4 separate regions of the Mus musculus genome follow, and regions 1, 2 and 4 are each reported to be linked to region 3. Evidence: microRNA targets listed by miRTarBase, many of them from high-throughput screens and not tested one by one. Region 3 holds a microRNA gene; each other region holds the end of a gene's coding sequence.

What was found. Region 3 holds the annotated microRNA mmu-miR-759 (GCAGAGUGCAAACAAUUUUGAC, at 3,844-3,865, shown strand). A microRNA usually pairs through its seed, bases 2 to 8, with sites in the 3' UTR of a target mRNA and lowers its output. Matches are read on the target gene's strand: a 7mer-m8 pairs with bases 2 to 8, a 7mer-A1 pairs with bases 2 to 7 and ends in A, and an 8mer does both.
Region 1: miRTarBase lists Polr3gl as a target of mmu-miR-759. Seed matches in the 3' UTR shown: 7mer-m8 at 5,471-5,477.
Region 2: miRTarBase lists Dars2 as a target of mmu-miR-759. Seed matches in the 3' UTR shown: 7mer-m8 at 1,667-1,673.
Region 4: miRTarBase lists Lix1 as a target of mmu-miR-759. Seed matches in the 3' UTR shown: 7mer-m8 at 2,768-2,774 and 7mer-A1 at 2,893-2,899.

What each region holds. Positions count from the first base shown.
Region 1 is chr3:96,572,817-96,579,938 of GRCm38, forward strand. It overlaps Polr3gl (polymerase (RNA) III (DNA directed) polypeptide G like), which reads right to left. Exons shown (of 8, transcript NM_027241.4): 7 at 6,982-7,095; 8 at 5,056-5,772. The coding sequence ends at 5,686. Among named protein-coding and RNA genes, the nearest start is that of Gm15441, 9.6 kb to the left of the region's middle.
Region 2 is chr1:161,035,341-161,042,445 of GRCm38, reverse strand. Dars2 (aspartyl-tRNA synthetase 2 (mitochondrial)) reads left to right here. Exons shown (of 17, transcript NM_172644.4): 17 at 516-1,845. The coding sequence ends at 730. It overlaps Gas5 (growth arrest specific 5), which reads right to left. Exons shown (of 11, transcript NR_166052.1): 2 at 6,642-6,694; 3 at 6,432-6,463; 4 at 6,202-6,238; 5 at 5,867-5,897; 6 at 5,594-5,626; 7 at 5,131-5,158; 8 at 4,899-4,941; 9 at 4,409-4,451; 10 at 4,174-4,221; 11 at 3,907-3,989. It overlaps Snord47 (small nucleolar RNA, C/D box 47), which reads right to left and starts at 4,354; the gene lies at 4,290-4,354. LOC115487643 (a small nucleolar RNA gene) reads right to left here and starts at 7,052; the gene lies at 6,973-7,052. It also overlaps LOC115487678, LOC115487638, LOC115487644, LOC115487677, LOC115487645 and LOC115487640.
Region 3 is chr14:79,734,617-79,741,738 of GRCm38, forward strand. Mir759 (microRNA 759) reads left to right here and starts at 3,815; the gene lies at 3,815-3,912.
Region 4 is chr17:17,456,322-17,463,443 of GRCm38, forward strand. It overlaps Lix1 (limb and CNS expressed 1), which reads left to right. Exons shown (of 6, transcript NM_025681.2): 6 at 785-3,066. The coding sequence ends at 1,072. Among named protein-coding and RNA genes, the nearest start is that of Gm41537, 32 kb to the right of the region's middle.

The sequences.
Region 1 (7,122 bases), not on the chromosome of region 3:
AAGTTTGAGGACCTATGAAGTCCCTGCAATCCTAGGACTGGGGACATGGACACAGGCGGGTTGCTGAGATCAATGTCCAGCCATCCTACTTCAAATGCATACAAGGTAGACCATACACAAGGAATAGCACTTTAGGCTGCTTTCTGTCCTTTATACTTATAGACATGCATGAGCACACATATGCACACGGACAAACGGAAAAACTCACATCAAGATAGGAATAAACCAAGTGTGGTGGTACACACCTATAATTATAGCACTTTAATTTGGTTTTATTTGGGTTTTTTTTTGGGGGGGAGGGGAGGGGTTGGTGGTTGTTTTTGTTGATTGGTTTGTTTGTTTTTCCAACAAAGGCTCTCACTATGTAGCTCTAGTGGTCCTGGAATCTACTCTGTAGACCAGACTGGCCTCTAACTCACTCAGAGATCCACCTGCCTCTGTCTCCCAAGTACTGGGATTAAAGGCATGAGCCACTGTGCCTGGCAATCCGAGCACTTTGAAAGCTGAGGCAGACAGATTATTACATGTCTGAGATTAGCCTGCAATCCACAATGAATTCCCTGTCTTAAATAAAATAAAAACAAAAGCAAACCGGAAGTAGTGGTGTGTGCCCGGAATCGCAGCACTTGGGAGATGGAGGCAGAAGGATTAGGAGTTTAAGTGTTACATGATCAAGTTTAAGGCCAGCCTGGGCTCCCCAAGACCCTGTTGGGAATGAACAAAGCCAAACACACACATGGGTTTAATCCTCCTGGCAGGCACTGGTACCGCAGGGTGCTGGGGACAGGGTGAATTTGGATGTTTCTCCCTCTTTACCATAAATCCAGAGAGGGAGAAGCATAGGGCTGTGTCCACTGGGGCGGGGGGGGGGGGGGGGTCTGAGCTGTAGGAAGCACAGCCCATAGCTGATAGTCCTGGGACATGAGGCGGTTTGAATAGAAAATAGCCCAGACTCTATGATCATGGAAAACCTTCACCCCTCTGGTCTGGGGTGAGGTCAGTGCGTGCCTGCTAACTCCCACTGGGGTAGCTATAGCTAGGCAGCAGACAGAAGAGACACATTACATCCTAAGGATTAGGCGAACCATTTTTGCTGATAATACTCGAAACTAGAATTCTGCGTCGGGATTTCAAATTTCTATGTTTGTGATTTCCTTGGGGGGAATGTGAGTCTCAGTAGGGGAAAAGTCAATGGAGAAAAGGTCACACTAGCCTGGGTCAGATTACATAACAGAACTATTCCTGTCGAGCTCATTTATCTCCTCACCTCTGGCCAGACGTGTTTAAGGACAGATAGGAAGGACCTGTATCTGCAGCCGCTTCTTTGGTCTGAAATCTCTGTGGTGTCCTTGATGTGACTCCGGACTCGCAGGTCGTAACCTTGAACTCTCGGTTATAAGGTTTTCCTGCTTTCTTACTAGTTGTGGGAGTTGCTGGTCCCCAGCTACCCTGGCTGCAAAGGTTCTTGGAAACAACTGGCGATGTGCCTGAGGTATCTTTAGCTTGCCTGGCCGAAAATAAGGTGAGAAGATCAAGGAGATCGAATGACAGCTTGGCCAAACGGGCATGTCCCGCCATTTGTAGGACAAAGGTTGGAGTGACCACTGGGGATCAGTTGTGCTGTCTCAAAGACAAAATGTCATACAAATCAAGTCAGATGTGAACTCTGCCCTGCCTGGACTCCTGCTTTTACTGGCAGGTGACCTTGTTGGACCAAGCAAACGTCTGGAGTCCCGGTTCCATTTGTACCTTTACAAGTGAGTCTACACCAACCCTACTGTGGAGTAGGGGGTCTCAGGAGACAGCTCATGTATCAGATTCGTGTACCAGACATGAGACTGAGGCATGGGGGGGTCATGACACAACATTCCAAGGGTACAAGACTATGGAGTAAAGACACCAAAGCCCTGGGGTGATATTTTGCCTATCTGAGATGACAATTGTTCCCCTTGACTTAGCTTCTTCATTTCTTTTTTCTTTCTTTCTTTCTTTTTTTTTTTTTTTTTTTTTTTTTTTTTTTTTTTTGGTTTTTCAAGACAGGGTTTCTCTGTATAGCCCTGGCTGTCCTGGAACTCACTCTGTAGACCCACTTCATGCCCAGCTTCTTTTTCTTTTATTTCCATTGAGACAGTGTCTCCTGTGCCCCAGCTTGGACTCAAATTTTCCATAGAACCAAGGGTTAGAGGCATACGCTTTTATGCTCAGTTCTGTAGTGTTAGGGATAAAGTCTAGGACTTTGTGTATGCTGGGCAAGTGCTCTGACTACTGAGCTACACCCCCAGTTCACACCCTGCTTTATTCTCTACCAGCCCACACCCTTCTTTACTTTCAAAGTTCAAACAACCATAAAAGTAAGTTGCAGAAACCAACTACCTTTCCCTTACCAAACCGCGGTGCCTAATCGCTCCATCCACCTGCCTTCTGGCCTTCAGTTTTCTTTGTTCTCCACTCTCAACCTAAATTTGCTGCATCCAGATCTCTATTTGGTCCTCTCTTAAACCACATGAGTCCTTGCACCTGTTCACCGACTCCCCATTTCACGGGTCCTACCTAAGGAGGTGAGGCCTGGGAGGGTAGGTGTGGAACATGGGTTAGGTTTTCCTGCTGTAAAATCTAGTCTGCAGTCCAGGCATTGGAGCAATTTAGACAATAAGAACTGTTCCTAATGGGTATTATGTACCTGGGTGGCAAACACTGACTAGGTCTATGTAAATTAGTAGGCCAGGCCTCAACTGCTGTGCTGCCTGCCTCTCCAGGAAGAGCGGCTTTGACCCTGTCTGCTGGACCCAGGCTCCAGCCTCTGCCTGTTTGGGAGTGCTTGTGGGAAGTTGGGGAAAGGTCAGTGGACATGGTTTAGCTATTGCCTGGAACCAATTAGGAATTTGGGGAAGCTGCTGTGTCTCGTGTCACTGGCTTTGTCCAACAAGGTCACCTGCCAGGGAAGGCAGGAGTCCAGGCAGGGCAGAGTCCAAGAATGACTTGATATTTATGACACTTTGTCTTTGAGGTAGCATGACTGATCCCAAGTGGTCATTCCAACCTTTGTCCTCCTTTCTCCTGCGCCAGGGGAAAGGCAACGTGAAGGGACGGAACTGTGGAAAGATGGGTGGGGACTAGTGTCCTGCCCTCCTTTACCACCTTTAGTTCGGGATCTTTGGTCCCACCACCAAGTTCCCAGGGATGTGAGTTGGCTCATTCGGTGCTTGCCTCCAAGCCTTGCATGTGAGCCCCCAGACCCATATGGCAGCAGGAGAGTACTGACTCCAGCAGGCTGTCCTCTGGGCTCCCCACACACGCCATTTTGTACACCCTTGGCCAAATAAATGAAATGTTAAAAAAAAAAAAAAAAAAAAAAGAGGAGCATCAGGTGGGCTAGCCTGTGGCAGTGTCTCTCAACATAGACCTGGACTTAAGTAATGAGGGTTAGGATGGTGTCTCCCCTCCACTGTGTGTGCACGGGACAACGTAGGAAAAGACAACAGGTAAACAAAACAGAACCAAACCGTTCAGGATCTTTGTTTTCGGCTGTTTCCTCCCTAGCTACAGTCGCTGGCTGTAGAACTGTGGGAAACCCCAGGGACAAGTCTCCTGGCCCCGCCCTTCCCTCACCTCGGAGAGCTAGAAAAGGAAACACATCAATCACCACAAATTGCTCAATAACTCTGGAATGTTCGCTTCTATTCCTGTTCCCGGCTCTGCTTTCTTGGCTGGGCTTCTATCCCAACACTTGCTACCACATTTAAACGAGGCCTTGAAGGCGCTTCTCCTCCATGGAGTCTAAGCCCCTCTTTGCCCTGTACAATGGGGTCAGAAATACCTGACCTTGGATTTCGGTTCTCTAACCCACGATGCTGTAGGAAATTCGGTCGGCCTGTCTAAAAGCGATTGGGAAGCTTATTGGACGCTTCTCACACAGTCCATCCTTAGACTATGAAATGCTCAGTGGGGCCTCCCGTGGTAGCACGGCAGATGTCTCTGCAGGTCTCCTTACTCTGTTTCTATACTGGACACGCAACTTACTCGTGGCTGTGGCATGGCAAGTGCATGCAACCAATCAGCTCGAGGAAGCCTTCCTTAGAAGCCAATCAGAGGCCAGGGAAGTGACCTCACCCAAGGGAGCGCTGTGTGGGCGAGGAAGCCTCTCTTAGAGCTGAGTGTCCCTAAATCACTCCCTTCCTCCCCACCCTCCTTACTTCCTGGAAGATAACACCGCCTACCCCCTCCCCAAAGTGGAGTGAGAAAGGCTAACTTAATTCCACAAAGGAAAGAACAACAAAAAAGAAGGAGCTGCAAGCCACACCCCGGCTGTCTGTAGAGAACAGTATATTTAGGGAGATCCTAAATATGCCTTTCAAAGTGGGCTCTCCAGGTCCTGGAAGACGGTAAGCTGAAAGCAGTGAGTCACTCCTCTCTCCCGGCCCCTGGCTTTCTGGACTCCCTGCACAAAAATAGCTGCAATCACTCTTTGTAAATAAGGACACCATCAAGGTCAAGTGTGAGAAAGGAGAGGGCTGGTGTCCTGGTAAATGTGCCTGACTATGCAGGCTCATGTCCCTGTGCTGCTGGAGGCCAAAGGCTAGGGTAGTCTGTGGGCGAGCCTATGCTTTCCCCAGCGCTGCTTTCAGACAGCATTGCAGATGAGTTCCTGAATGTCCTCCAAGGGAGAGCTGAGAAGTAAAGGTCAAGGGTCAAGGCGGTCACACACACACACACACACACCCGTGTCACACTGGACACGCAGAGATTTGACACTGGTGGCACAGACCTGGGACCACAGCTAGGGAGGCTGAGACAGTTTCAGGCCTGTTTGGGCTACAGGGTTAAGTTCAAAGCCAACTTAGGCAACTTAGCAAAAGCTCTGCCTAAAAATTCTAAAGCAAATATATAAAAAGAGATGGGGGCATGGCTGAGTGATGGAACACCCGTTTAGCATTTGCATGGCTGTAAATTCAGTCCTCTGAAAGGGGGCGTGGCAGGGGTAAGAATGGCTTGACTGGACACCCCCTCAGCCTTGCCTCCGGCCCTTTCCCAGTACACATCACTCTGTTAGACATGTTAGACAGATACAAACATTTTATTTAAAAGTACAAAACAGGCCTTACTCCTCTTGACTGTTCCCACCCCAAGTCTCCCCTAAACTGTCAACGGCTGCGCATCACAGCCCCCAGGGATCACACAGGTCACCTGGATTCTAACCAATTTTTTCTCAACAGAAGTAAATGCTAGTAAGTCTGCTGTGGTGGCGCGTCCCTGTAATCCCAAGGCTTGGGGGGGTGGGGGGGGGTCCAAAATTCAAGGCCAGCCTCAGCTACATACCGAGTTCCAGGCCAGCTTGAGCTACATGAGATCTTCTCTCAAAAAACAATAACAAAGCTGGGCATGGTGGCGAATGCCTTTAATCCCAGCACTTGGGAGGCAGAGGCAGAGGCAGAGGCAGGCGGATTTCTGAGTTTGAGGCCAGCCTGGTCTACAGAGTGAGTTCCAGGACAGCCAGGGCTACACAGAGAAACCTGTCTGGAAAAAACAAACCAAGCCAACCAACCAAAACAAAACAAAACAAATAACAAAAATAGGAAAACCCCTAAGTACATAGGGATATTTAGTTCCTGTATCTCAAATCAAGAATGATATATGGGCCCAGGTTTTCAGTCTATGGCCCAGGTTTTCAGTCTATGCCCAGGTTTTTCAGTATATGGCCTCATCCATATTGTCATCGCTGTCCCCTCCAAAGTCCTCTCCATTGTCAAAATATGACATGATGTAATCAGTTTCCTGAAATGTAAAAAGAAGCAAAGATCAGGGGTGATGTCAGAGTTTTCTTCTCTTTGTCTCCAGGCTCTTTCTTCTCACACACACCTTTCCAGGTCTGGGACACCTCTACCTGCTGTTACATTCATTCCTTTTCATGCGTATAGGTGCTTTGACTGCATGTATGTGTATACTGCTTTCGTGCTAGAACCCTCGGAGGCCAGACAATGGCGTCAGATGCCCGGGAACTGGAGTCACCGGTTGTTGTGAGCCACCATGTGGATGCTGAGAGTGGAGCTCGAGTCCTATGGAAGAGCAGCATGCGCTCTTAACCAAGAGTCGTCACTCCTGCTCCATGTTATACAAGTTAAAGTATTTGTTTGCCTGTATATGTATGTTATATGTGTGTGTCCAAGTGTGCCCTGGTGCACATGTGGAAGTCAGGGGACAACTTGCAGGGGTCAGTCCTTCCACTCTGTGGGTTCTGGGGACTGCACTCAGGTCATCAGGCTTGGTAGCAAGCCCCTTTGCCCTCTGAGCCATATCACCCGCCATGTTCCGTGTTTTGAGGATAGGTCAGGGATAGATGAACTGGAGAAAGGCTTTTGGTGGCACTGCAACTCTCTGAGAATGTCTCCCGTGTAAGGGTTGAGAGCCCAGGGTTAGTGAGATGGCTCAGTACAAAAGGCCTTTGTTGTTAAGCCAGAGGACCTGTGGTCAATAACCAGACCCCACACGGGAAAAGAGAGAGCCAACTCTTGCAAGTTGTCTTCTGACCTCCACACATTTCACACACACACACACACACACACACTCATGCACACATGTAATAAAAGATGGCTTGGATGTTAAAGGCCTTTGTTGCTCTTTCGGAGTTCAGATAACTTGGGCAGCTCACACCTGCTTGTAACGCCCAGCTTCAGGGGTTTGGAGACCCTCTTCAGGCCTCCTCAGGCACCAGAACACGCTTGGTATGCAATCATACAGAGTCTTGTATGCTAAGTCTGGAGGCAGACTCATATGTAACCCCAACAGCAGGAAATAGAAGCAGGGGGGCTTCTGGGGAGTTCCTGGCCAGCCTGGCTTGCATAATGGAGACCCTGTCTCAAAACCAAAACCAAAAATAAAACAACAACAAGAAATCTTGAAAAGAAAAAAAAAAAAAGAGTTGTGAGCCTACAACTTGTAAGGGAGAAAGGAGGGGTGGGGTGGGGAGGAGCAAAGCCCCCTCACCTCCTCATGCTCCTCTTCATCGTATTCCTCTTCCTCCCCCTCTTCCTTCTCCTCCTCTTCTTCTTTCTCTTCATCCTCCTCCGAAGTCACTTCCTCCTCCTTCTTCTCTAGCGTCTCATGTGAGGATGAATAGGAAGAGAA
Region 2 (7,105 bases), not on the chromosome of region 3:
ATGACATGGAATCCTATCTCAAAAAGAAAACAGACAGACAAACAAACAAACAAACAAAAATTAATGTAAATTCTCTACAGGCCTAAGGATGTAGCTCAGTGGTAGAGCATTTGTCTAGAATGTATGAAACCAGGGCCGGAAAAAAAAAATTCTCTACATCTTTTACATAAAGACCAAGGTTGGTAGTGGTGCATGTCTTTAATCCCAGCTTTCAGGGATATCTCTCAAAGTTCTAGGCCAGCCAGAGCTGCAGAGTCTCAAAAGAAAGAAAAAAAAAAAAAAGGCCCATCAGATCAGTAATGGTAGTGGTGGTGGCACAAGCCTTTAGTCCCAGGATTCAGGAGGCAGAGGCAAGTGGATCTCTGCATTCAAGGCTAGCCTGGTCTACAGAGTGAGTTCCATGACAACCCAGGACTAAACCCTGTCTTGACACCCTCCGCACCCCCAAAAAAGTTATTTTCAGAGCTAAAAGCTATACATTTCTCATCATGTTCACTTTGTATTTTACATCACAGGGTTAGACAGACTGGTATGTCTTGTCACGGGAGCACCCAGCATCAGAGATGTCATAGCCTTCCCTAAATCCTACCGAGGACAGGACCTTATGAGCAATGCTCCAGACTCCGTGTCTCCAGAAGAGCTGAAGCCTTACCATATCCACGTCTTGTGGCCAGCAGACTCAGAAGAGGAGAGTGCATCCGCCACACCTTCCAAACACTTGAGCTCTTAACTTTTGTCTTCTCTGCTTCACCAAACTTAAATTAAGATCCAGACCTGCCACAGACTTTAGAACCAAATGTCTGTGTAGAAGCAATCATTACCGAGTAAGAAAGAGAAGCTACACAATTGTGACTTGGTCATGTGTACCATTAGGACTGTCTGTGGAAGTTTTTTAATTGGAAAATTGTCAAATGAAACAAACAAACAAAAAAATCTCTTTATTGAGTATTTAGAGTCTTCCTGTTTTCCAAGCATGTTTCTATACCCAGATAAGTTATTTAGAATAAGGATAATACAACATGGTTGCCTCTGTACACTGGCCAGTTAATGCAGCAAGGTTTCAGTTCATCTAGCCTCATTAGAACCATAAATTAAACTTTGTGGTAATCTTTCAGCCATCAATATAATGTTCTAAGTAGTATAGTAGGATCAAAAAAAAAAATTACAAGTAACAGAATTCTATTGTGTTGTACCTTAAGCAAGCTACAAATGTCTCTTAGCTGCCCCAGCTGCTTATATAATGTGAATGACACTTGTCCTGGCTGTCTCACAGATCTCTTGTTGCCAGAATCATGAGGTTACATTTGTGGCAGATATGTGATTTGAAATACTGTAAAACAGGACTGAAATGCAGCTGTCCTAACCACTGTTCTATTGCTGTGAGGAGACACCACAACCAAAGCAACTCTTTATAAAGCATTTAGTTGGTGCTGGTTTATAGTTTTAGCTGTAAGCATGGTGGCAAACACAGACATGATATAGAAGTAGCTGAGAGTTCTACATCCTGACCTGCTGTTGCTGGAAGACTGGGCCTGGCACAGAATTATTTGCTTTCTTATGGCTTTTCAAGACAGTTTTCCTGGCATGGGCTCTTTTTTATGGTTTTTTTTTGTTTGCCTGTTTTCGAGACAGGGTTTTTCTGTGTAGCCCTGACTGTCCTGGAACTCACTCTGTAGACCAGACTGGCCTTGAACTCAAATCCGCCTGCCTCTGCCTCCTAAGTGCTGGGATTAGCATGTGCCACCACTGCCTGTGGTTCTTGTTTATGGTTTTTCAAGACAGGATTACTCTCTGTAGCCCTGAAACTTGCTTACTTAAAGGCTTTCAAAAATCAGTTTCTCTGTGTAGCCCTGCATGTCCTGAACTCTTTCCTGTAGACCAAGCTGGCCTCAAACTTCTGGGGATCTGCTGCTTCTGCCTCCCTGGTGCTGGGACTAAAGGCATGGGTTCTTGACAGTTTTAAAGCCTCCAGTCACAAACCTAATCCTTTCTAAAAAATGTCACTCTAGTAGTAAACATTCAAATGAGTTTATCAGCACCCCCTCCCACCCCTAACATCTATTCCTTCTCTGAAAGGGGAAACCACTCCCCTTAACACCCTAAGGCTTCTCTGCCCCCTATCCCCTACACACAAACTCACTGCAGGACTAGGCGATTCCTCGGAGGATGGCAAAGCAGCTGAGACCTGGAAGGACAGTTGTACACAGCTCAGTGGTTCAATCACCAGTATCATACACAATCTAAAGGCCTAATGAGGCAGTGCTAAGGGTGCTGAAGTGGAAGGAGGCAGATGACTCCCTACTTGATCAGAGGCTGGTAGATCTGAGCTAAGGGCGTGACTGTAGAGATCCAGTGAATGAAACCCTGACCTTGTGTTCTGGAAGAAGGAACCATGGGTGTCTTAAAACAGACCAGTAACTCCCAGCTGGTCCTAGTAAGCACAGACCTTTGATCCTAGGCAGATCCAAGTTTGAGACCAGCCTGATCTACATGGAAATCCCATCAAGGCAACCTGCCTCCAAGAGACCAGCCAGGCAAGATGACTGGATAGCTGGATTCCACATTGTGAAAGGAAGACTTGTGTAGGTCATCCTGACCTCTTCACATGCATTACCATACAAATGGACCACTAACAGTAAAGGTATGTGACTAGCATGTGAAAAATTTAAATCCTCACAACCCAAGAATGTGATGGAATTTAAATCCATTTCAGTAAGACTATGTGTAGAATATAAATCACCAAATGAGATGTTTAGCTATGTGTTCCAGGGTAACTGTTGAGCATTGAAACACTGCCCCCATTCCCAGGGACTAAAGCTTGTAGAGGTACAGCTCCAAATACCTACACATTTTGCCTGGAACCAGTGTTCTAAGGACCCCTGACCAGTTACCTATACTATCTACAGCCAAAGGACTAAACAAAATAGCCTCAACTTTTCCTTTGGGGCCACCACACCCAGCACGAATCCCAAACTGTACTTGTTAGATTAAGGATTGTAGTTTCCGTGGTCTCAAGAACTGAGCCCAACAGACCAGAGTGAACAGTATCAAACCTAAGAGCCAATTAGCCTCAGTGTTCCTCCTAATTTAGGAATGCTGAGTTAGGCCTGGTGGTATATATAACTGCAAAAGTCCTAGGCATGGGGACAACACTTTAACAGGACTGCAAGGTCTAGGCTTTTACCTTCCAGGTTTATACTTCAAATTTTCCCTCACACCTGTGCCCCTACAGGCCATCTCCAGACCTTTAAAGGGCTGGTATACCCACTCAGACTGCATAACTGATTAGACATTCAGGATGTAAGACTCAGCAGACACTGTCACCTGCCAAAAGTGAAAATACCACCTCCACCAGTCAGTCCAGTTCTGGTTAACGCTGTTCCTATTAATTTAAAATGTCAAACAGAATAATGGCTTGAGGCTGGTGAGATGGCTCAGTGTGTAAGAGCACACTTCTCTTTTGGTTCATCTTAGATTGTGTTGAGAAAGGAAAGAGAAAAAAAAACTATTTCCAGGCAAACTGATTTGTGACTGTACTCCCCTTTGCATACTCCATGAAATATTTAGTTTTATAAGATATAAGAAAAGTGTTCTAGGGCTGGAGAGATGTACTAACTGCTCTTCCGAAGGTCCAGAGTTCAAATCCCAGCAACCACATGGTGGCTCACAACCATTTGTAACAAGATCTGATGCCCTCTTCTGGAGTGTCTGAAGACAGCTACAGTGTACTTACATATAATAAATAAAAAAATCTTAAAAAAAAATAATGGCTTGTGCTTATAAGCACAAAAAGACAAACTATACTGACACCAATACCATCCAGTCACTGGGCAGCTAATAGATTTAAAAATGTCTAATGTGAACTCCCCACAATGTGCTCATCAGAACAAAATGCACACTTCACAGTTCATGTTATAATACACTTTAATGGTAAAATTTTAACACAATATATCTGACACCATCTTCTATTTGAGCCTCCATCCAGGCACCTGCAACAACCAACAGAAGGTAGCTGTTAAACACTTTTCTACAATTTTAACTTAAATGGTAACTGTTAAAACACAGAACATCAGATCTTTTACTATCATCAAGTAATCAGTGAGAGAGTTCAAGTTGTGTGAGATCATCATGTATTCTGGAGTAGGTTCCCGGTTAAGCATTTGCAGTTCTCACCTCAGAAACAAAGGTGCAGTCACTGCATGTCCACTTGTCACAGGAGCCCTAAGAAAACAAAGACTGACTTACTTCTCTGGCTTAGAGTAGTTAAATTTTACATGTTAGTATAGTAACCTCAGAAATAAAATGGAACGGTTTAAAGGTGATATCACTTTGTATCATTTGGCAGAATCATCACATCACTGGTTACAAGCTATATTACAATCTGTACAAAAACAAGTGACAGACTTACTTTGAAATTCAGAATGAAGGACCGGAAATTCAGAATGACCAATCTGTTTGAAAATTAAAAATAATTAGTGCAGTTACTTATCTTCATTTTATTTCACACTATTCTCTCAGTGTTCAGTTGTCTTCACTAGTCTCCATGGGCTCACATCAATTCTCTTGCCAAGAGGCCTGAGATTTATAGTTTCAATCGTCATACCCTAGGGAACTTATGTATTTTTCACAATAAAATTGTCCTACTGGGTTAAGTCAGTGGCACAGCACATGCCACCTTAGCATCAGGCTTTGGCCTCATCACTTGGGACTCTTATCTTGTATTTCCTAATACTATTCAAGGAAAACTCTTTAAAACATTACAGCCAGATACATCAGATAGGAGCGAAAGACATGATTGTTCATCAGAGTTAAGTCTGCTGAACTATGTTATCATCATGGTATCGGCTTGTTTGGAAGGGGTTGAAAGTAACTAATACATGCACATTTCAAAGACTTACCATTGTGTTTGCAGTGCCTTCACTTGAGGTGACCCATTAATACCTGTAAGAAATTACACTCCGTTTAGAAATATGTATTTGTAAAGTATATTTACTGATGTCCTTAAATACTGTTTCAGCTTAACAATCAATCTTCAATCTTATTCAGAGAGATTCCCATCTGTTTAACTTTATTGATCATCACTAACAGTACCTTAATTCATATAGTAAATACCAAACTTACAATGCTTACCTTTCTTTATTCAAACCATTATTTGTACCTGAAAAAAATTTAAGGCACCATTTAGTACTGATGGTAGCACATGCATGTTCAAAAGCTAAATGTTATGCAGTAAATACTGCAAATGACTGGAGGGAATTCAAGGCCCCCAATGGCTTCTTACCCAAGCAAGCCAGCCAAATGAACAAGCATGCAACCAGTTAACTAGAATTAAAAGAAAATACCTCTTACAAATATGCTAAACATCATTCGACTATTCTTAGTTGCCTGCCACAAGGTTCTTCAGTGTTAAAAATTGTCTACAAGTTATTTTCAGCTCAGACATTTGATCAACATCATTACAAGAACCCAGAGTGTTGTCCAAAACACACCTATCTAAACATCCGTAAGACAATGCATGCTGGAGTTTTGATGATTCAAAGTCTCTGCATGTCCCTTTGTACTGACCCAAATTCAAGTGTTTTTCAATACTTACCTTTCAAACTGTCTATCCAGCCTCAAACTCCACCTAGAAAAAAACATTAAAGAGCTTTTCAATGCAGTCAACAGATTTGAGTTTGCCCCACAATAAATGTCAAGGAAGCCCACCATCAGATAGAGCTAATAAGATCTTCAGGTAGTCAGTATTTGTTCGTCATCATGCAGGCTGTGTTCAGCTATGACCAGGATGGAACACGTGGCCAGTATTTGGCAGAGTGCAACAAAGCCAAGCCTGTTTAGCATCTACAATTCCTTTAGTTTGACTTACCATTTCATTTTCTGGTCTTCTATTCTAGCACCTACAACAAACAAATAGTTAAAGCTGCCCGGTTAGGCCCCTGACTCAGCACTTAAGATGGGGGAACCAGAGTCCACCAAATAGGGGGTAAATGCGTTAACGACCACTAGCTCCCACATATCAAAAACCAGCCTCCTCAGATACGCAGAAACAATGCCCTGACTTCAGACTTCCCACCCACTCCTCTATCTACAATTGCTCTCAGGGAACAATACATTCAATGTGTGGGTTGAGGGATCTTTAGTGCTCATTTGCCATTGGGTATTCCTTGTAATGGGACCACATGCACACACAAAATTGCTTACATTGCGCTCGCTCTGTTATCCAGCTTCCTGACGAGTCCTGGGGGGGGGGAATCTTTATGTAAAAACTGCTTACTCTGTAAGTAGCCCCCAAATCATTATTTTGTGTGCCTCAGTTATAATCATGGTGGTTTAAAGCTATCGTCACCCCAGCTGTCAAGAGTAGCAAATATGATGTCATCATTGTGGCACTGTCCTTTCAACCTAACTTCTCATTACTATTCAGTACTCACCTCGTAAGCCTTCATCCTCCTTTGCCACAGAACTGGAAATAAGAGATGTGAACAGTCAGTCCCCTTCTTCACGGAACTAAACCCTTTCCAGTAGCTGAATTAAAGCCTCAGAAAAGTGTTTTTCAGAAATCCCTTCTGTCCACTACTCTCATACCATCATGGGCTTTGTGGTCATTATGTTCTAGTCATGCCCCTCCCCCACTGAGTTACCTGGCTGTGAGATCCCACAAGATGTCCCATCACAGAGGTCCACACTGCCATTCCTAAGAAAAATGTTAATCTTTAGTAGTTCTACTTCCACAAAATGGACCTGTCTTACAAAGAACTCCGTCCACATAGGCACTGTTGAGTTGCACATATCCAGCAGTTACATATAAGTCTCTAATCCAGGTACTTCCCAAGAGCAATCGTCCTCTTTGTTAGTGACTAAGGCCTGCTGGCAATCTCTAGCAAAAGCCTTCATCCCATGGTGATCGCGAAAGAAACACCGCGTGGCTTCGCATTCCACCCCCGTTGAACCGTGCACGAGGTGACTCAGCATGCTCTGCCATCAGAATCGTTGGTATTCATCAACAAGCTCAGTTGTCCCTACCAACATAGCCTTCATCATAGCATGAACACGCATGCTGAGTCGTCTTTGTCTGGTGTCCAGACCAAAACCCAATGCTATTTTA
Region 3 (7,122 bases):
ACACATGGTTGCCCACACATGGTTGGTTGCACACGTGTACATATACCCATTCGTATATGCCCCCCACATGAACACACAGGCATGAATACTCTACATATACACATCAGACTCAATGGTAACTCTTATTTTAGTGGTTAGTCTAGTGTGGTGGTTTGAATGAGAATGGCCCCTACAGATGCATATGTTTGAACACGGTTCCCAGTTGGTGGAACTCTTTGGGAAGGATTTGGAGGTATGGCCTTGTCTGAGGAGATATGTTGCTGGAGGTAGACTTGAAGTTTCAAAAGAGTTCTGGCCATTCATTCCTGGTGTGCTTTCTGCCTCCTGCTTGTGCACCAAGATGTGAGTTACCAGCTGTTGCTGTTCCAGTGCCATGCCTGCCTGCCTGCCTGTCTGCTGCTGTGCATCTATCGTGATGGTGATGGACTCCTATCCCTCTGAAACTGTAAGCCCCAAATAAATCTCTCCTTCTATACACTGCCTTGGTCACGGTGTTTTAGTCCAGCAATCAAAAAGTAACTGATACACTGAGGATGCTCCTATTACAACAGTGTTAGTCAGTGTTCCATCACTGTAACAAAATGCCTGTGACCAAGCTTATTTTGACTCACAGTTCTTAAGGTTCCAGTTCAATTGGTACTACTACTGCTTTGGGCAAGGCAGCATATTATGGAAGGAGCTGCTCTTCTCATGCCCAAGAAGACAAAGGGACAGAGGTCTCACAGTCCCCTTCAAGAGCTTGCTTCCAATGACCAAATGCCTACTGTGTGGATTGTCTCCTAAAAGTTTTACCACCTCTCAATAGTTCCAATGTGATGAACAAGGAGGACCTTGGGGGCACATTAAGATCTAAACTTCATTTAAGGTCTAAGATGGTAGTGGTACATGCTTATAATTCTAGCACGTAGAGAGGCAGGGGCATGGCTACAAGTGTGAGGCCAGGGTAGGATACATGAGGTTCTAAGTCAGCTAGGGTCACATAGTGAGATCCTCGTTCAAACAGCAGCAATGAAAAACTAAGTTAATTGACTGAACCGCTTTTCAGAAGACAACAAGGTTCCTGCCCTAATTTCTCCTACCAGCTAAAGTGAGGGAGAGAGAGTGGAGATTTGACAAGTAAACCCAGCATAGTAGACCCCAATCAGAGCTCTGTTCTGTCTAGCTGTGCAGATTTGTTAAGACGCTCCCCTTATCCTCTGACCTGTAAAATGAACCGTCATAGACCAACCTCTTTATACTCTCGTAAGGGTTCACCAAGTTAGCCACGGTTGTTGTTTCTTGAGTTCATTGATTTTTAGTTATGCTCTCTCTTCTGATTAGATGACTATGAAGTCACATCTTGGCCAGGAATGTGTGTGTGTGTGTATAATAGTCTCCAAGTTCGGCCTCAGAATTAAGCATTTCCTTGGGGACTGCTCAAGGTGAGCATCAGAAATGAACACTAGACCATTCTCTGTGTGTCCTGAGTATTAAGACAAAGGGAAGGCTCATAAATGGTGGCTGAGGCTAACAGGTAGGCTCCCTACCTCCAAAAGCGTGGAATCTCCTTGATGAATTTGAAGCAGAGCCTAGGACCAGCAGCCACCTTCTGCTAACTGCTAACTGCACAGAAACAGAGCTGATTGCTAGTGTCTTGTCTACCATAAAGAACTTTAGTAAGTTGGTCTTATTTTATTAGTATTAAACACATTTAATTCCATACATCCCAGCTAAGAAAAAGCTCATCTTCAATGGTTGCTAAAAAAACTAAACAGAGATTTGGAGTTAAGACAAACTGCCTTGAGGAGCTGTGAGTGTGGCTGTTTACATGTGACTTCGGGCATCTTCCTCCATCAGGTGGGTCTCTCAGCTGACTGTTGTACTTAGCAGTCCGGCTAGTCTACCTACCCAGCTTTCCCTCTAAACCTCAGCTTGGGCATCTACACACAGAGGGGAGAATGCCAGGTTTTTTTCCTTATTAAGGTTGTAGTAAGAGTCGCTACAAGCATGCAACTTACTGTCCGGCTCATCGTGAATTCTCAGTCATGATGCTACTTGTAACTAACTTTCTAAAGTGTGGTTTGAAACAGTCTAATCACAAACCTCAAGCATTAAAAAAAAAAAATCCTCAGTACAGATGTTACCTGGGAAAGGATTTTTATCTTTTATTTCTTAGTTCGTCCTCTCGGTTAGCATTCGGCTAAATAAGATTCTGAATACTCACCTCCTAGACCGGGCTTTCACAGAAAACCCTCTCCTGGGTCTCAACTACAGCACTGTCTGGAAAAAAAAAAAATAAAAAAATAAAGCCGTACTGCTCACGGTTGATTGCTTTGAGAAATAGCACATTGGCAGGATTTCTTCCCTTCCCCCACCAGCCAGGCTTGGGGGTAGATAGAGCTTCACTATGGAATCCGACTGGGCTTCAGATACCAACAGCCTGGAATGTTTCAGGGGAAGACCTTGAATGGTCTCCAAGCAGGGAATGGAGGCTGAGAGAGCCAGATTTTCAGTCTTGAAGGACCCTTGATTAGTTCCCCAAAACAGAACAATCAGTTTCCAGTGACCTTGCCTGGTATATTTTGACAAAACATTTGCCGATTAACGGAATCTCATTCTCTTCCCGACTAGGTGGCTTGGATCTACTCTTCTGTGTCTGGAAAGATCACTGCACGAGATGTCTGGGACAGGAGGAAGCAGCCCCACTGCTTTCTATCACTAAGGAAGGGGAGATCTAGTGTGTTTGCATAACCACAGTCCTTAACATCTTTCTCTTTGTCTCAACACATTTTCTTTGAGCAGGAGCTGTTGAGGTAGCTCCACCCATTTTCCAGTTTCCAAGATATTTGTGACAAAACAAGAAGGAATCTTTATTAAAATGTGAAAGTGGACTGTCCAAATGGCTCAGTAGGTAAAGATACTTGCCATGTAAATCTCTCGACTTGGAGTTACGTCTCCACAACCCACTTAGGTGGAAGGAGAGAACTGACTTCTACAAAGCTGTCCTCTGACATTCAGTTGTGGACTGACACACACACACACACACACACACACACACACACACACACACACACACAGACACACACACACACACACACACACAGACACACACACAAACACACCACTGTCTCTTACTTAGGATTAGTAGATGTCTGTGTTTTCAAGTGAGTTGGGGAGGAGGAGGTAGGTTACCCAGGGTCATGGTATTATAGAAGTCAGGTTTGGGGGTGGAGGTTGGGGGGGGGTGCCAATAGGCAGGCGCAGTAGACCTTCACTGCCACCTTGTGGTCACCTGGGACCCCAGAGGGTCATTTTTCTGGACTGTCTTCCTCACTCTCTTAGGCCGCCAGCCTGAAACCTCTCCCACTGTATCTGGTGTTATTTCAATGGATCTTTTGTTATAGTTTTTTCTTACCAGTGCACTTTAACTTTAGGGGGAATTGCGGAAAGCCAGCACATTTCTATATTCTGAAAAAAAAATATTTGCGGGGAAGAAGAGGTCAGGTTCCATGAGGGCTCTTTAAGACGAAACGGCTCAAAGCCTTGCAAGGTTCCTGTTTCTTCAGGCTGCAGCCAGTCTCAGCTGCAGCAGAGATGCTCAGGGCAGAAGGCAGGCCCTGGGGTGGCACCTGTCTTTGTTATCACCTGGTCAATTGGGGAAGTCAGGACAGAGGAGGATCCGTTCATTATCTCATTTATCACCCTCGTCTGTGGTCCAAATTAGTTCTCACATCAGATTCTGATAGTATCAGATTCAATATCATCAGCTGGAATATGAACGGTATTTTTCAGCACACACACAAAAAAATGACTTTCAAGGCATGTATTATGGGCAGGATTATAATAAATTAAATGCCTAAACTGGCAGAGTGCAAACAATTTTGACTCAGATCTAAATGTTTGCACTGGCTGTTTAAACATTTAATTTGTTCCAATGGAGGTAGCAGCACAGACTAAGCATGCTAATTAAACTCGGGCTTTGGCAACGTGAGTCATCTCGTGGACACAAAGCGCGACAAACCAGGACGGAGAAAGCCATTACGTGTGGTTTCCTCGTTCTCCAAATGAACACTGTACATCCTTCAACCCTGCAGACATTAGTAATTGTTAATGAATTGTTCCATCTTTCTGAAGTGACTTTTAGATGATGCTGTGCTACTGTTACTCTGGGAAACAACTTTGCTAATTAAGTTGCAGGGAAGTTCATCAACTACAGATAATTGGTTAAAGTGATTACGTGGATAATCTGTTTCATGTTCCATTAAAAATGGAAAATGTACAGAGGAGGAGGGATACGAATGACAAGGCATCTTGCCCAAAATAATTGCCTCCACTGCCCTCAAATCACTACCACCACCATCATCAACTACATCATCACACCTTTTGGGGCAGGGGGAATGCTCAGGCATGATTCTCTTGACTGGTCTTGGTTCTGCTACGGATTGATAGAGCATGCTGGCTAAGTCTTCTCTAAGCTTCCGGTTCCTTTGTAAAATGAGGGCATTCTTGTGCTAAATTAGGGCTAAGTGATCTATTTCCCAAATGCAGTGATTTAAATAGGAAAGCAGTTCGACTCTCTTTTAGAAGTATCTCAGGTATTTGGGGCTGGCAGGGGAGCACTCCATTCTCTCACTACAAAGCCTTTGGTAGCTCCCCAATGCCTGCAGAGCCACGTTCAAAGCTGCTCACCATCTGACCCCAGTCTACACTTCTAACTTCATCCTCCTTAGCCTGTCTGCTTGAATCTGTCTTTAATGTGCTGCTCCGCCCACCTGGAATGCCCATCTCTCCTTCACCTCCGCACTTTATTCTGTCTTTATGATCTGCACTCCTTCAAATGCTCCTTCGTAAATCTGTGTAATTATTCTCTTGCCTCTGGCTGACCCCTGCTATAGCATTCATTGTCTTTTCCTTCTAATTCTGATATTTTTGGCTCCATGTCCAATTTCATTTCTTATTCATACAAACAGCACTCATGTTTCTGGAGACAGAAAACTGTATGTTATTTATGTTATTATAAATAATATTAATTATATTATTATGTAGAAAACAGTATATTATTTATCTCTTGGGATTTTTTTTTAAAGACTTCATGTATCTCAGGCTAACCCAGAACTCTATGTAGGTGAGGATGACCCAGAGCTGCCTTTTCCACATCTCGAGTCCTGGAGTTACAGGTCTAATTTATGACGTGCTAGGGAGCAAAGTTGGGGCAAAATGTTCTTCTCAACTGAACTACATTCCCAGTCTTTACCTCCTTTATCTTTATTCCCCATCCCTCTCTTATTCCTTCCTTTGATATCTAGCATTGTTCTGTGTGCAAAAATAACAGCAATAATAATTAAAATTAAATTAAATTAAATTTAAAAAGAATGTTGAACTAAATGCAACAAAATGTTGTTCCAGATTAAAAAAAAACAACCCAGTCACCAAATAGCAACCGTTTGTTAACTCAAGGGGCCAATTAGGCAATGGGTTATTCATTGGAAAATTCCAGATGTGAATCACAACCGTTCCAATTAGATTTACATCCTGTGTTAAACTAAGAACAGCAAACAGAAATAACTCCTTGGGCCCCACATCCATGTGGAATAGTGTGCCACTCAGTTCATTAGGAAGACAGCTTTCTGGAGATGGCTGTTTTTTTTTTTTTTTTTTTTTTTTTTAATTTTGTTCACGGGATGGAGAGATGGCTCAGTGGTTATGTGCTCTGGCTGCTCCTCTAGAGAATCTAGGTTCCATTTCCAGTACCCTTAAAGCAGCTAACAACTGTCTGTTACAGGGGATCTGACACCTTCATACAGACATGCATGCGAGTTAAACAGCAAAGCACATAAAAACCAAAACCAAACCAAACCAAACCAAACCAAACCAAACCAAACCACAAAACCCCTTTTGTTCATGAACCATGCAGAAAAAATAGGGTGACCTTAGATATATGCACAAGGACGTTGTATGTGGTCTAGCTAAAGTCTATCTCTATTGGTGACATTTCTGCTTCTGTGCTTGCCCTTGGCATGTTAGATTTAAGAGTGGGTTGTGTGGCAGGGGTTCATTTAAGAGGGTAATCTTAGATTATGGGGTCACGTAGAGGTGGCTCAGAGGTTGTGGCCCTCCTATGGCTTTACTGTGCCATTGGGAAAACTTAGCACCTCTCCTCAAACCTCATTCTTTTGCTTTGCACATTTATACTGTTCTCCTCTTACAGGGCTGTTTGTGTGGATGCTGGCAGCTCATTAGTGTGGAGCTTTGAAAAGATCATGGGACAGCCTGTTGGGTACTGCCGGAGGCCCACCTCCAGGGTTCTGAGAGTGACTATTAAAGCCATGCATTTGCTCGCTCCAGTCACTGAGCCCACACCAATAGTTCCTTGGTTGCATTTATAACATTGCAGCTTAAAAAAAAAAAAAAGAAATTAAATTTTGCTTTTTCAAATTTTACAGATAAGCCATGAGTTCTTCTGCTTGAACGGATTTTGAATCATAATTTAGTTAATGCCAGGATGTCAGTAAACCCAGTGGAATTGAGCAAGGGCAAAGAAAGGAGAAAGCCGAAGGGCGAGACCCGCACGGCTTCACAGATCTGCCTGGCAATTTTCTTCCTTTCCCCCTCTATGCCTTTCATTTCTCTTGAACACGTAAGCCTTTCTTCCTCTTCATTTTGACAGATCTGGCCAGGTGGCATGGATGCTCATAAAAGCTAAGACGGGTGTTGAATTGTCACCCAGTTCAGAAATCCTCAATTCTTTATGACTGTCGTCCTACAGCTCACAAGTGATTGGGACTAATCTACTTCAAACTGGTGGGGCTCAGAACATCTGAGTGGATGTCTCCCCTCACCGTCCCAACAGGTTGCCACTCAACCTATGTATTCCAGAGCAGTGTGAGCTGGGTTCTGCTCTTGAAGGGTTCTATGTATAGGGATAGCTCAGTTACCAGCAGGGATGGTGTGGTGGCTTAGAATAGGTTTGTTCCCCGTAGACACATGCATTTGAATACTTGGCCATAGGAAGTGGCACTATTAGGAGGTGTGGTCTTGTTGGAGGAAGTGTGCCACTGTGTTGGTGGGCTTTGAGTCCCCAATGTGGAAGATAGTCTTTTCGTGGCTCCCTTCAGATCAAGATGTAGAACTCTCAGTTCCTCC
Region 4 (7,122 bases), not on the chromosome of region 3:
CATTTGAATAATACAAATACAACCTTTACCGCAACAGTCTTGTGTTCTTGGCTTTTTTTTTTTTTTTTACAAACACAATTCTCCTCACAAGACCCCACTCTTGGACTGTGTTCCACACCAAAGCACAGAAGCTAGGATGTAGAGTCTTGGGTTTCAGAGTCTTGTTTGTTCTGAAGTCCCCTTGACTGAGTCCTTCCCCATTCCTGTACTAGGCATGTCCAAATCTTATTCTAACTCAACTTGTCTGTGTAGCTCCTTTCCTGTTTCTGTCTTGTCAAAGGCAATGATACTGGGCTTAAGGGTTCAATGAAGAATTAAGTTATATTTATATTAGTTGTTACAGGAATACAGTTTCAAGGACAGGCTTGCATTTTCTAGAGCTTCATTTTGTAATTTTTAGTGTTATGTTTTGACTTATTCTGGAGTGACAGGCTTTGCAAGACCAGATTAGTTCATCATTTCCTTTTTAGAAGTATGTCAATGGAAATTGGTTTCATATTTTTTTAAAAGATTTATTTTATTTATATGAGTACACTATACCTGTTTCCAGACACACCAGAAGAGGACATCAGATCCCTTTAGAGATGATGGCTGTGAGCCACCGTGTGGTTGCTGGGAATTGAGTTCTTAACCACTGAGCCATCTCTCTAGCCCTCGTTTCAGATTTTTAAAGTTAGGGTTACTTGTTTGAAAGCCATGTGATTGGGGAGGTATGGAAGGCTCTGCACACATGCACCTTTCTTTCTCTTTATTGACACTCTGAATTTTTGTTTCTTGGTTCTAGGAAGTCATCTCCTACTATTCCCAATATTCTTTAGATGAAAAGATGCGTAGCCACATGGCCCTGGACTGGATTATGAAGGAGCGTGAATCACCAGGAATTCTCTCTCAAGAGCTGCGTGCAGCCCTAGGGCAGCTGGAGGAAGCCAGGAAGGCTGGACAAGAACTACGATTTTACAAAGAAAAAAAAGAAATCCTGAGCTTGGCCCTGACTCAGATCTATAGTGACCCTGACCCTTCCTCACCCAGTGATGACCAGCTAAGCCTCACGGCTCTGTGTGGCTATCATTAGCAAGGCCAGGTGGCAGGTTTCCTGAGGACGTTCACATCAGGAATCTACCTGACAGAAGTTGTTAGAGATTTTAGCATGATAGTCAGTACCTGAAGGCTGTACTGCTCCTACACAGTCTGTTCACAGAATGGGAGGCTAGGGTTGACTGATCCCGATCCCAACTTCCTACTTCATGTATGTTTTCAACCATTCCCTTAGGGATTCTACTTCAGAATAAAAAGAAAGACAACAAAATTACTTTAGAAAGCATTCTTCAGGGTTTGATCTAATCTAAAAAACCTAGTTGATATGTGCCTTGCTAAATTGTATGCATTGCTTCACACAACAGTCCAGTAGAGCAGTCTTGGAGAAAACAGCAGCCAGGACTAGGGAAAGGATCATGATAACTTCTTTTTTTCTTTTTTTTTGGGGGGGCACAGTTTCTCTGTGTAGCCCTGGCTGTCCTGGAACTTGTCTTTAGATCAGGCTGGCCTTGAACTCAGAGCTCTGCTTCTGAGTACTAGGATTAACTACATCTACCACAACCACCTGGCCTATAACAATGTTTTAAATACTTAAGAGTAAATAAATAGTACAGATGATTTAAAAAAAATGTACAACACTCAGCATGTTTTGAACCCTCCTGAAAATTACTGTATCCTCATTATATATTTTGAAATTAGCTTTAATAACAAACACTATCACATATACTTCTCAGACAGGATGAAATTAAGTACATAACTGCCCTATTCCAATGTCCTAAAAAGGTGATGGTGTGTAGTGTTAGATGATTTCATTTTAAAATGATATTTTTTTAAAAATCATATCACTTCCCATAATGAGGCTAAATGTTCTAAGGAAAAAAAAACTTTAGATTTTTGTAATCTTGAGAAGGAGTTAGGATTTGTGTGTGTGTTGAATAAATTTTTAAGTGAAGAAATTTCTATTTCATTTTTTTTTTTACAAACTTTTTATCATTTCAAATTCAGCACATTTCCCCATGTTGGCTGGGATCTTTACGTGCAGTGCATGTTTACTGTGTTTGGCAATGTCCACCTCAGAAGATTGATATCTGATTAGATGCAAGAACAGTGCTTGCGTGGGTCAAGCTTCTCCTCTCTTTTATAATTATGACACTGTACAAATTCTCTGAACTGAAAATTACGTAGACTATTTTTCCTTGGAATATTCTCAGAAACTTCAGCAAAAGCAACAAAGGTTATGGCCATGGCTGGCCCTATCTAATAGCAAATCAACTTCAGCCAGGGCATTGTGCCAACCGAGTATCACACATGTCTGTAACACTGGCACAGAGGAACCTAAGAGAGGGACAAGACAAACACGCACGCTTGTTCTTAACACTGCACTGTAGAAAGGGACAAGAATAAAGGAGTCTCTAAGAAGATGGAGCCATGAAGGTGGTGCTTGTTGTTGCTATGAACTCCCTGAAAATTGAATAAAAAGCCACAGACTATCTCATAGCAATATATAATAATTTCATAAAACATATGGCCCTGCCCCAAAATTTATGGATTAGCCCAGAGCATCATTGACCCTTAGTTTGAAGCTCACAATTTTAAAAGCATACATAGTTTTACACTTCATATGAGAGATCTAGTAACCCATAGACCATATATTTTTTTCTTTTCTTTTCTTTCTTTTTTTTTTTTTTTCCGAGACAGGGTTTCTCTGTGTAGCCCTGGCTGTCCTGGAACTCACTCTGTAGACCAGACTGGCCTCGAACTCAGAAATCTGCCTGCCTCTGCCTCCCAAGTGCTGGGATTAAAGGCGTGCGCCACCACTGCCTGGCCATAGACCATATTTTTAAGATTACTACCATTACTCTGAAATCAAGAATTGTATTGTTTGGGGCATGATGGTTTAATTTTTATAAAAATCAAAATGCACCTTGTTGTTATGGAGAAAGAAATTAAGACAAACTAGACACTAAACTTTGGCAACTGTACCAGAACATTACAGATTTAATAAAATCATTGTTCCTTCAATATTCTGAATTTGGCTGTCCATTTTTTTTTTTTAAAGCTACGGTTCACGTGCGCTTTTGCTCTTAACCTTAACTATTTCTAGAAAAGAAATAGAATCAAGTCCTTGGATGTGTTCTTCACTGAGAATCTGGTCACCTCAGTCTGGGCATAAACAAATGGGGGGGAAACCCCAAAAGTTTATAACTCTCCTATTTCTTTGGGGGAAAAATGTTTCCAGTCAAAACAATTGTAGTTGGCTATAGACTAGAGGTTTTAGAGTTCTTATTTTTATTTCGCAGTGTCTTTCTTCATAGCTTATGTCAGACTATCAAAGTTTTCCTCACCTTTCACTATGTTCATAGGTAACCACTAGCCCAAACATTGTCACCTTATGTTTTTGTGGTGTCCATAAAAATTCAAATCACAGCCTTCTTCTTCGCTGAAACTTGGAGCAAATGGTCTGGAGTGTTGATACTGCATTCATCTAGGGTTCCAATATAAAAGAACTTATTTTCTCTACCTTAGTGTTTTGGGTTGTGCATGTAAAATACCCAAAGAGCTTTAACTTTTTTAAGTGGTCAGACTGTTTCAAGGTGAAATTAGACGGTTTGGGTGCATGGCCCATGCATCAGTCTTGAATATCTTTCATCAGACAGTTCTAATATACAGCATAGTTGACAGCTACTGCCTGCTTTCTCTAGTCATCACTGATGCAAGTCCATTACCTAACCTGTAGAGCCACTGTCCCACTTTGATCTTGGACCCAAACCAAAATTTAGAACTCTTTTAGACTACATGAGTAGATACTTTTCCTTGAACATGTTTTCTCTGTCACTCCGAACTAAAAGAGGAAAAGTGTACACACAGATGTGTGCGCACACATACACAGGGGAGGAGGGTCAGTTTACATTGACAGCTAAAAAACAAAAAAAGATGAATACAAGAAGAAACCATGGCAAAATACAGCCCCGACAGACACACTTTCAGTGACATACCCCAACCAGTGTCCATCCCCTATGAACTCCCAACAATACCATCCTATTATAAATCCGTGAAGGCATTAATCCATTAGTTAGGTCAGAGCTCTCATGGCCTAATTACCCTTGGAAATGCTATCACAAACTAGTCTAATCTCCTCGGTGTTTTTCAATATAGCTAACAAGTCATCTGATCCAGACTCTGCCCAGGGTGGACTCCTTTTTTTATATACTGTATGTGAAACATCTACACAGAATCACCTGAGATCCTTGTTTGTTAAAAAGTTCCACTGTATTGCAGAACGACTGAGCAAATTCTAGGCAGTTCTAGGTTATTTAATACTTCTTTTCATGCTTCTGACCACACTCCAGTCTTTGATATTCCAGCCTGAATTCACTTAATATATCCTTCACTGAGCAGTATAGCCCTGGCCTCTCAGGTAAGAACATACAGAGGAGTATCTTTCTGGAAGCTAGAAATTAGCAGAAGGGGCAAAGAGCTATGTTTTTCCTCTCTAAAGAGCACCTCGGCACCAACATTTGGTCTGACTTTCAAGCATCCTGCTAGGAGCCAAAAACTCACTTCTTTCAATCTAAGTAAACCTTGGTCATATTTTTGTCTGAGAGCAAAACTGGTGTAGAAATGTAAGCAGAACTTCACTCTTACAGCTTTTGATTTCTAATGAATGCTGGTTTCCAGTGAGAAATACTAGATTGCAATTTATAGGCAGTTCCTAATTTCAGCATGAATTGTATTCCATAAGTTTATTTGTAAACAAATTAATCCAACTCTGAGTGGTGTGTGTGTGTTTAAGAGCAAGACCAGAATTGGTTGCGATTTTCCCAGAAAAGACTACTTAGCTATAGAGTACCTAAAATTTTGATCCACAAAACCTGAGTCTGATAAACCAAGAAATTTGGGTTTATCTCAAAGATCAAGCACTTGCCTAGTATGTGCAAGGCCCTTATTTGGTTTCCAGATCCAAAAGGTAGAACAAGGAACAGCCCTAGGTAGCGGGCCTTATTCTAAAACATCTCCCTGGGGTCATTTCTCATGTCCAGATTGGTTGTCTTTTTTTCACTCTCTATCACCATTTAGTCATGGTTTCTTCTGTCAAATTTCTGAAAACAAACAAAACAAAGAGAATGGCTTTTTCTACCAGAACAATAAACCAGGACTTGACATCTTTGCGTGGTTTTTCATGGCTATGCACACACGTATGCATGATTGCGCATGTCTCAGGGTTTGCTTTCTTAAATTCTGGATCCATTTTTACTGTGATTCTTTCCTGATGCAACATGATAGTAGCCATATGAGTAAGTCACCCTATCAGTTCCAATCCAAGAACCAAGTACCACCACAATGCTTTTGTCCCAAGTCTGCTTCTGAGTTGATGGTTGTGGTCAGACCTGTGTTACCTGTCTGTCTCACTACAACCAGTGGTCAAGTCAAGCTCATATAGACAACTTAGACATAGTGCAAAAGGAGGAGGGCAAAATATGGGTTCAGTTACCAGAGGGAAAAAATGGCAATTTCCCAAGATATTTAAAAACTATTTCCTTCTCAAAGACCTTCAAAGACAGCATAAACAATAGAAGAAATGTGGTCTCTTCAACCAGAAATTGGGAAAAAGACTTCTGGGTAGACACAAGCAACAGATGTGTACCATGAATACATTTTACCATTTCCAAAAAATCAAATTCTTCCTTCAAGGACAAACTGCCCTATTAAAGATATTCAAAAGAATGATCTCCCCAGAGGGGAAATATAAAAGTGCTTCCAGACCAATCACATAGGAACACACAGACAGACACCCTGAGGACTCCTGAAGGGGATGTTGCTCATTTATATGTAAGAGCTCTGTTGCACACAAAAATCTAATCACTCATATTAGTCTGCAGTCACACTTCATATATTTTCAGAACTGATGAATTGGTGCTATGCAAGTGAGTCAGAAAATTTCCTCTAGTCTGTTTCTGCTGGGCACTGGCTTTCATTATCAGTGGCTGCTAATGCTCCCAAATGAAAGGGGTAATTGTTAACCCAACAAATGCAAACAGTTGGAGTAAAAAAAAAATTCACAGTTCAATAGTCCAGATCCTTTATTCATCCCTACTTGAGACTGGATTATTTGAAAATCTTAAACCTGCCTTGCTGACCTGTGAGTTGTGATGTAGACAGTCATAATGTAATGTAGGAACCATGCTATTCTGAAGTGATCTACTGTGTCTACACAAACACTGTTCTAGCCCATAAGTAATTCGTTGGTGATATTGGGAAGCAAATACACAGTATTTGGTGAAAGATGGTTTCCAAAGGGAAAACTTGAAAACGCAGATGATCTATTGAGATTCCAGATTGCTAGAAAAACTGAAAAGCCAATTTGAGACTACACCTACCTAAAATTAAAAAGAATGAGATGTTTTACCCTTTCAGTTAATAAGTAAAATGATCTGGGCTATCTATCTATCTATCTATCTATCATCTATCTATCTATCTATCTATCTATCTATCTATCTATCTATCTATCTATCAATTATCTATCATCTATCTATCTATCTATCTATCTATCATCTATCTATCTATCTATCTATCTATCATCTACCTATCATCTATCTATCTATCTATCTATCTATCTATCTATCTATCTATCTACCTACCTATCTATCTATCTATTACCATTTACCATCTCTACCTATTTGTCTATTGGGTAAAAGCCTTTGATCACAAAACCACTAGTGCAAATGAACTTTTTAAAACTAAGAGAGGAGACTTCATGTATCATAAATGCCAAAATATAGTTCCTTTTATCATAAATGAGAACATTTTTTAAAAAGATTAAGTTTGGTAACTTAAGACAACTTTCCTTCAACTTTGTCTTTTATTTAGTGCATACTTGTTGTCAACTTGTTTGAGGTCTTTTTTCATTCCTTCATGTGTAATCAAGGACAGTATCTCCTTATCCCATTTATCAGCTGTCTGTGAAAAGCCAATAGGGCTTGGCTCGCACTCTGTGGAAAGGAGGGTTCAGTGGGCTGTATCTTCATCCAGGCACCTTCCTCCCAGGCATTTCAGGTGCCACACTTGTTGACAGTAGGATTTACAGGG